2 linked regions of the Caenorhabditis elegans genome follow. The protein of the gene in region 1 purifies or fractionates together with the protein of each later gene. This does not show direct contact. Each region holds a gene or a part of one and is shown in the gene's direction. Other genes may lie near its edges.

Region 1 (3,657 bases):
ATTCTCATGATCTTGTACCTTTGCCACCATGGTAATTGCGACGAATCGGCAGTTTCTCCTTGCGAAAAGATGGAATCAGGTGGTTCAACAACCACAGAATGTGATGACGACGGACCCGTCTCACTCATTCTGGAAGATGGATCTGAACCCAAATGAGACGGCGATGATGGTTGCCTGAAAATGTTTGGAAATTATGTTCTGAAGGATTTATCAGTAAAAGTCAATAAATAGAACCAAGTTAGACATTTTAGAATTTGATACGATTTTTCGTAAGACTATTTTGGTTGCATATGATCTATCTTTTTTGAGCCTGAACTATGAAAATACATTATTATTATTATTATTATTGAGAATTGAATTTCAAGAAATTTTACAGAATCATTTTCAATTTAACATATAACGCTCACCGTTGATGAACATCCATTAAACCACTATACATATTTAAATTACTAAATACTGTGTTCTTTTTCTAAACGGAATAGTTTTGTGGTTTTCGTTTATATCTTTCAAATCAATCTTGTGTAGAATCCTACTAGGAACTGGTCATTCATTGATTTTCTAAAAACCTAATTACTTGTTTCCGGAAAACTTCAAGTTTTCATGGTTTCGGGTCCTGGCACGAGTGCAACTTTTTAGCTACCGTACCCGCAAGTAGGATAGTCCTTCAATCTTTCACATTGCATTATCCTTTTTCATATTTGAATTAGTTCCAATAGTGAATCTTTAACGATATTTGCAACAAAAATATTTTAAAACTAGAGGTATCCGAGGTAGAACAGCGGAGTACGCGCGGGTACTGTAGCTGGAAAGTTCCACGTGCCAAGACACGAAACCGTAGTTTTGTTCAACTGCAACTATTTGCAAACAGCTCTGCTAAATAACGAAAATTTAGAATTCAAGATTTTGTTTCAAAAATTTCAAATATTCAATGAAGCGTGCTCCATCTTTTATTCGAGTCATGATGATTGAGATATGGAATTGGGAATTTCCGGAAACTGAAGAAACTGAATAAATTACATTTTGAGATTTTATGTATTAAAGATGATACGCTTTAATTCAAATGGAGCACTATGTCTAGTCGAATTTATCTAACAATTGAGTTTTGGCAATCGAATGAATTTATGGTAACCTGTTGTTTTTCATCGTTCAAACGCAAATTTAAGAGTCTGGAAAATAGAGAGAATGCATGGATGAACCAAAAAAAAAAAGAAAGAAAAATGCAGTGCTCACAACAAAACGAGAAAATGACTCTGCGTCTCTACATCCTCCTCAATCTTTTATTCGACATTTCCTCTGAAATTCGGTTTCAATTTCGAAATGAAAAAGAAGAGAAAAAAAGAGAAGTGGAATTTAAAAGCGACATGGAGAGGAGACGGCATTATTGATTTGGAGAGCTCATGGCTCTTGCTCGAAGAGCATGTATGCGCGACGACGTGAATTGAGAGAAGTGAGGGAAACGAGAAAAGGAGATGAAGTAAGAGAAGAAGAAGCTTCTCATCTGACGATACTTGATTGGGCTAATTGGGATGCAGATGAATCTTATGGGAATATTCAGATATAGAAGGGACCTACCATCTTCCAATTTTTTTTCTGAAACTTGAAACTGATCTAGATTTTCAGTCTAAACTGTCTGAAACTTCAACGTGGATATTCCATCTCAAAGAACTGATACAGAAAGCATGTATTATTTCACATAGGGAACTCGGAAAGTTTTGTTTCGTGTTGTTTCGTGTTGGATCTATAATTCTACATATCCCCTTCTGATATTTTTTCGTTTGAAACCATAAAAAGATGAAACTTATTTTAAGGTTACCGCTACTACATTCTCATTAAACCTATTTTAAAGAAATCATAGCATCTGACAATGTCAACCAATTTTTGTATCTTCTCCGCTATTGAGACTTCTTTAAATGAACTTGAATATTAGTTTTGGTTACGGTGTGCAAAGGTACGCAAACACCACTACGCGCAGTTGCACACAATCATTTTCTCTGTTTTTTTTTCTTGTTTCTTCATTTCTTCAACTTTTCCTATGTTGTTACTGCTACTTTTCAGCTTTTTATAGTTTAAATTGCAATTAAATTGTAATTTTCAGCAGTACTCTACACAATGGCTCGTTCCCGCAGAGATAAAAATGGTAATTTTGTTGTAAAATTAAATTATAGGCAAACTTTTTATATTTCAGTGTCACTCACAAAAGTCAAGAAGAAGACTAAGGACACAAAGAACAATTTGGTTAATGAGGTAAAATTTAAGAGTGAAGTGCTGACTAAATAATTATTTTTTTCCAGGTCCGTGCAAGTGTCGATCAGTACAAAAACCTTTTCATTTTCACGATTGCTAACATGAGAAGCACACGATTCATTGCCGTTAGTTAAAATCAGATTGAATTAAAATTTGATTACTTTTGAATTACAGATCAGACAAAAGTACAAGGAGAATTCAAGATTTTTCTTCGGAAAGAACAATGTCATTTCTATCGCTCTTGGAAAACAGAAGTCTGATGAGTACGCAAATCAGCTTCACAAAGCCAGTGCAATTCTGAAGGGTCAATGCGGTCTCATGTTCACCAACATGTCCAAAAAGGAAGTTGAGGCGTAAGTTTTGAGTAACCATTGCTTCTCTAATAGCATTTTATCTTCAGTGAATTCTCCGAAGCTTCAGAAGAAGATTACGCTCGTGTAGGAGATGTTGCCACAGAGACAGTTGTTCTACCAGAAGGACCAATTTCACAATTTGCCTTCTCTATGGAGCCACAACTGCGAAAACTTGGTCTCCCAACGAAACTTGACAAAGGAGTTATCACCCTCTACCAACAGTTTGAGGTGTGCAAAGAAGGCGAACCGCTGACTGTGGAGCAGGCTAAAATCTTGAAGCACTTCGAAGTGAAGATGTCTCAATTCCGTCTTATCTTCAAAGCTCACTGGAACAAGAAAGACGGCTTCAAAGAGCTTGATGCTTAACTTCTGCTAATCATCCTTTTATTGTTAATTTGTTGATTTGATTCTGATTCTCCTTGATTTGAAAACACCCACTCCATCCGAAAATTGTCGTTTATCATCTTGTTTTTTTGTTTATCCAATAAATTGTTACTTGTTTCAGAGTATTAATATTGATAAATATAGAAGGAGGTTAAATCCCAAACTTATTAAATATCCAATGATGATTATAAACCAACGAGAAAGCTGATTGTTCAGGAACATGTGGAGGGTTTTGTTATCTCGTTCCTCAATATTAGCTCAAGCCAGAGGATTGGCAACCAAGAGAAACGCACCTGAACCGAAGTTTACACAAAGTGCCGCATTTCAAGTAATTACCTCGAAGCATAAATAATTATTTTAGTAGATGTCTTTCAGGGTCGTGGATCTCGAGGAATGCCACAATTCAAGCCAGATTACTACTCATCAGACGCGTATGCCAACAAAAAAGTGCTATCAGCTATCGGAAGTCTTATAGCAATTGTAATCTATTTCGGTTGGCTCAGAGAACCATCAGATTTGGACGAAATATGGAGCGCTCCACCACACATTTTGACCTCCAATTTGGAGAGAAAAATGCTTCGAGAACAAATTAAGCAAGCTCAAGAGAAGGGAATGGATACAGCGCTTCTACGAGCACAATTGGAGTATGTGGATGTTAAGGAAGAAGCCTTGCGAA
Region 2 (3,755 bases), on another chromosome or scaffold:
GGCTTTTACAGTTGAATGCCTACCTTTTTCATCAAAATGGAGCAATTTTAGAGGGAATTGAGATGTGGAAGCGGAATGTTGATAAGGGTGTGGAGGGTGTTGAGGATTGTACGATTTGTATGATGACTGTACATCAGCAGACACATCAGTTGCCGAAAATTAAGTGCAAACAGTGCAAGAATAAATTCCATTCGAATTGTTTGGTAGGTTATGAGGAAGCCCTATGGAAAGAGGAAATGCGCGAGAAGGAGATCTGCAGATCTGCAAAAATATTTTTTAAAAAAACTCTGAAAATTTGGAGTTTTCTGGCGGAAATCTGATAATTTTGAGGAAAAAAAATTTAGAGAAAATTTAAAAAATTTCAGAATTTTCGACTTTTTTCAGAAAAAATCGGAAATTTTCGATTTATTAGAGATAATCGAAAAATTTCAGAATTTTCGACTTTTTTTTCAGTTTTAAAAAATGTTTTTAGAGTAATTCCAAAAAATTGTAAATTTTCCGATTTTTTTCAGAGAAAATCTGAAAATTTCGATTTTCAAAAATTTTTCCAAAGAAAAGAGAACATTTTAAAATTTTTTTTGAAAAATCGGAATGTTTCGATTTTTTAAATCAAAAATAACAAATTATCGATTTTCTCGATTTTTTTCGGGAAAAATCGAAAAAAAAGCTGAAATTTTAGAGTTTTCTGATGAAAATCTGATAATTTTGAAAAAAAATTTCATTTCCGATTTTTTTCAGTGAAAAAAACGCAGCTATTCAATTTTTCCTGAAAACATTTCGATTTTTTAAATTAAAAATTTACGATTTTTGAATTTTTTCCAGAGAAAATCGAAAATTTTCAATTTTGTTTTAAGTCGAAAAATTGTAAATTTCTGATTTTTTCTGTGAAAACTCGAAATTTTTGAAAAATTTGCGATTTTTCCCTTAAAAAATGCAAAAAACGAAAACGAAAAACACTGAAAATTTGGAGTTTTCTTGCGGAAATCTGATGAAAATCTGATAATTTGAAGAAAAAAATTCCGAAATTTTGATTTTTTCCAGAAAAATTGATTATTTTCAATTTTTTCTAGAGAAAATCAGAAAATTATGATTTTTTTATTTCCGATTTCTTTTTCTGGAAAAATCGAAAAAAAAATTTTGGAATTTTCTAGTTAAAATCTGAAAAAAAAAAAATTCAAAAGATGAAATTTTTTCCAAAAAAAAAATTGATAATACCGACTTTTTTAGAGAAAAGCGAAACGTTTTTCGATTTTCTCAGAAAAAAATTTTGAGAAAATTGGAAATCGAAATTTTACGATTTTCTGAATTTTTTTCCTGCAAAAATCGATAAAATGGAAAAATTGCATATTTTTTCAGAGAAAATCGAAAATTTTCGTTTTTTCTTTTCGGGAAACATCGAAAAAAAGAAGAAAAATAGGAGTTTTTAGGTAAAAATCTGATAATTTTGAATAAAAATTTCCACAAATTTGAAAATTTCGATTATAAAAAATTCTGAACAATTAAAATTATTTTTTTCAGGGAAAAATTGAAAAAAATTGAAAATGTTTGATTTTTTCATAGAAAATGTGGATTTTTCAATTTTTTTTCAAACAGAAAATCGGAAAATTTCGATTTTCTCTAAAGTAAAAAAAAAAACGTAAATGTTCGATTATCTCTTATAAAAAATTTAAAAATGTTCTGCTTTTCCTGGAAAATATCGAAAATTTACAATTTTTTGCCAATTCAATCCGAAATGTTAGCAAAATTGTCGCAGATCTCCGTTACGCAGATTCCATTTTCGTGGGGCCGTGGTGGCCGTGGCCTAACTTTCTCCAATTTTCTTTTTTTTCAGTACAAATGGTTCGAATCAAGCAATCAATCGACTTGCCCACTTTGCCGGAATAATTTCACTTAAATTTCCTCTTTTTTCTTGTGATAATATTTATTTTTTAAAGAATTTATTTCTGTTTATCATTCGGTGTCAACTACGGATAGATATTTTATTGATTTTTCTCTATTTTTCGAAAAAAATCCCGTTTTTCTCGGGAAATTTGCTATCTCTGTGCCTATTTTTTGCATTTTTAAGGTATATTCCGCGGTTTTTCAGGTTTTCAGCATGGTTCGAGTCGAAAAAATTAAGACAAAGAAGGGAAAGAGAGTTTTGGTCAATCGGGCGTCGAAAACTGTTGGTTTTTATCGAAATTTTGCGATTTTCGCGATTTTTCGCCTAAAAAAGCATTAAATAACCAATTTCCAGGTCGAAAATGACAAGAAAGCCCTATTTTGCCGTGGAGCCAAGACAAACGAGATAATCAGCCACGCAATGATGGATTTGTTCGACATGAAGAAGCCGCTTACCACTAAAATGGACAAGTAGGGCTTGAATCGGCTGATTTCAGTGTGAAAATTCAAGTTTTAGAGTCAAAAATGAATTCATTTTGTTGAAAAATGCCTTTTTGAGGTTTTTTCAACAAAAATTAATATTATTTTCAGATTTTTCGATTCAAAAATTGCATTTTCAGACTGAATTTAACAAATTTGAACGAAAATAATTGCCGCACAAGGATCTCTACAATTATCCAACATTTTCATTGAAAATTAGTTGAAAATCTCTAGATTTATCTGAAAAAAACGTTAATTTCAGCTGAAAATGCTCAAAAATTACCTCTATTCGGCAATTTTTTGAGCATTTTCAGCTGAAACTAACGTTATTTTCAGATAAATCTAGAGATTCTCACCGATTGTGTGGAATTATACTGTGCGGCTTCGATTTTCGTACAAATCTGTTAATTTCAGTCTGAAAATCCCACGTTTTGAGTTGAAAAATCTGAAAATAATATTGATTTTTACTGAAAAGACCTCAAAAAGACACTTTTCGACAGAATAAATACATTTTTAATTCAAAAACTTGCACTGAAATCAGCAGATTTGTACGCACAGAATGATTCTACACAAGAATCTAACATTTTTAATTAAAAATTTGTAGATGTCTGAAAATATCATTCATTTCAGCTGAATTCAGCTCAAAGTGGCAAAAACTGCCGAATAAAGGTAATTTTTGAGCATTTTCAGCTGAAATTTACGTTATTTTCAGATAAATCTAGAGATTTTCTACACATTTTCAATTAAAAATGATAAAAGGCCGTTCATCCCAAAAAAAAAAATTCAATTTTCAGGCACAATCCGTACCATTTGTTCGAGGACGAGACCCCAATCGTCCGTGCTGGCTCGAAATTCGATACTTCATTGTTTGTGCTGGGTTCAAATTCGAAGAAGAAGCCGAATTGCCTGACTTTTGGCAGAACTTACGATGGACAGCTTCTCGATATGGCTGAGCTCAGAATCACTTCCTACAAATCCTCATCCAACTTTGAGGTTGGATTTTTTTGAAGGAAGATGTCGAAATTTAGCCTATTTTTAGCTAAAATCTCTAATTTTGGCCACTTTTTTGTGTCGCAGTGGTCCGAAATTGGCTTTTTTTTTCGAATTATCATCCTTTATTGCATTTTTTTTTACGAAAAAAAGTGCAATAAAAGATGTTAATTCGAAAAAAAAAAGTAAACTTCAGACCGCTGCGACACGAAAAAGTGACCAAAATTGGATTTTAACTGAAATAGGCAATTTTTCTTCTAAATTTGCATTTTGCGAAGTTTTTTACTACCAAATACGTCCATTTTAGCACAGATTGGCTCTATGCTAGGACAAAAAAAACCAAAAAAAAATCGTATTTTAGCTTCTAAACTTCACTTTTCCAAAAAAAAAATTTCCAAAAAAAA

The links.
Region 2: the proteins of F10E7.5 (region 1) and Y54E10A.10 fractionate together in Caenorhabditis elegans (co-fractionation; one large-scale study listed by BioGRID). This does not show direct contact.

Annotation. Positions count from the first base shown.
Region 1 is NC_003280.10:7,109,883-7,113,539, forward strand, and holds F10E7.5 (Ribosome assembly factor mrt4), read left to right. Parts: upstream 1-2,098; 5' UTR 2,099-2,109; coding exon 2,110-2,137; intron 2,138-2,185; coding exon 2,186-2,244; intron 2,245-2,291; coding exon 2,292-2,369; intron 2,370-2,418; coding exon 2,419-2,597; intron 2,598-2,644; coding exon 2,645-2,963; 3' UTR 2,964-3,100; downstream 3,101-3,657. Other genes in the region: F10E7.9 (Amino acid permease/ SLC12A domain-containing protein), read right to left, coding at 19-128; F10E7.6 (uncharacterized protein), read left to right, coding at 3,202-3,309, 3,357-3,657.
Region 2 is NC_003279.8:3,174,651-3,178,405, reverse strand, and holds the start of Y54E10A.10 (Ribosome production factor 2 homolog), read left to right. Parts: upstream 1-2,086; 5' UTR 2,087-2,095; coding exon 2,096-2,164; intron 2,165-2,236; coding exon 2,237-2,352; intron 2,353-3,155; coding exon 3,156-3,354; intron 3,355-3,755. Other genes in the region: Y54E10A.11 (E3 ubiquitin-protein ligase listerin), read left to right, coding at 1-203, 1,832-1,894.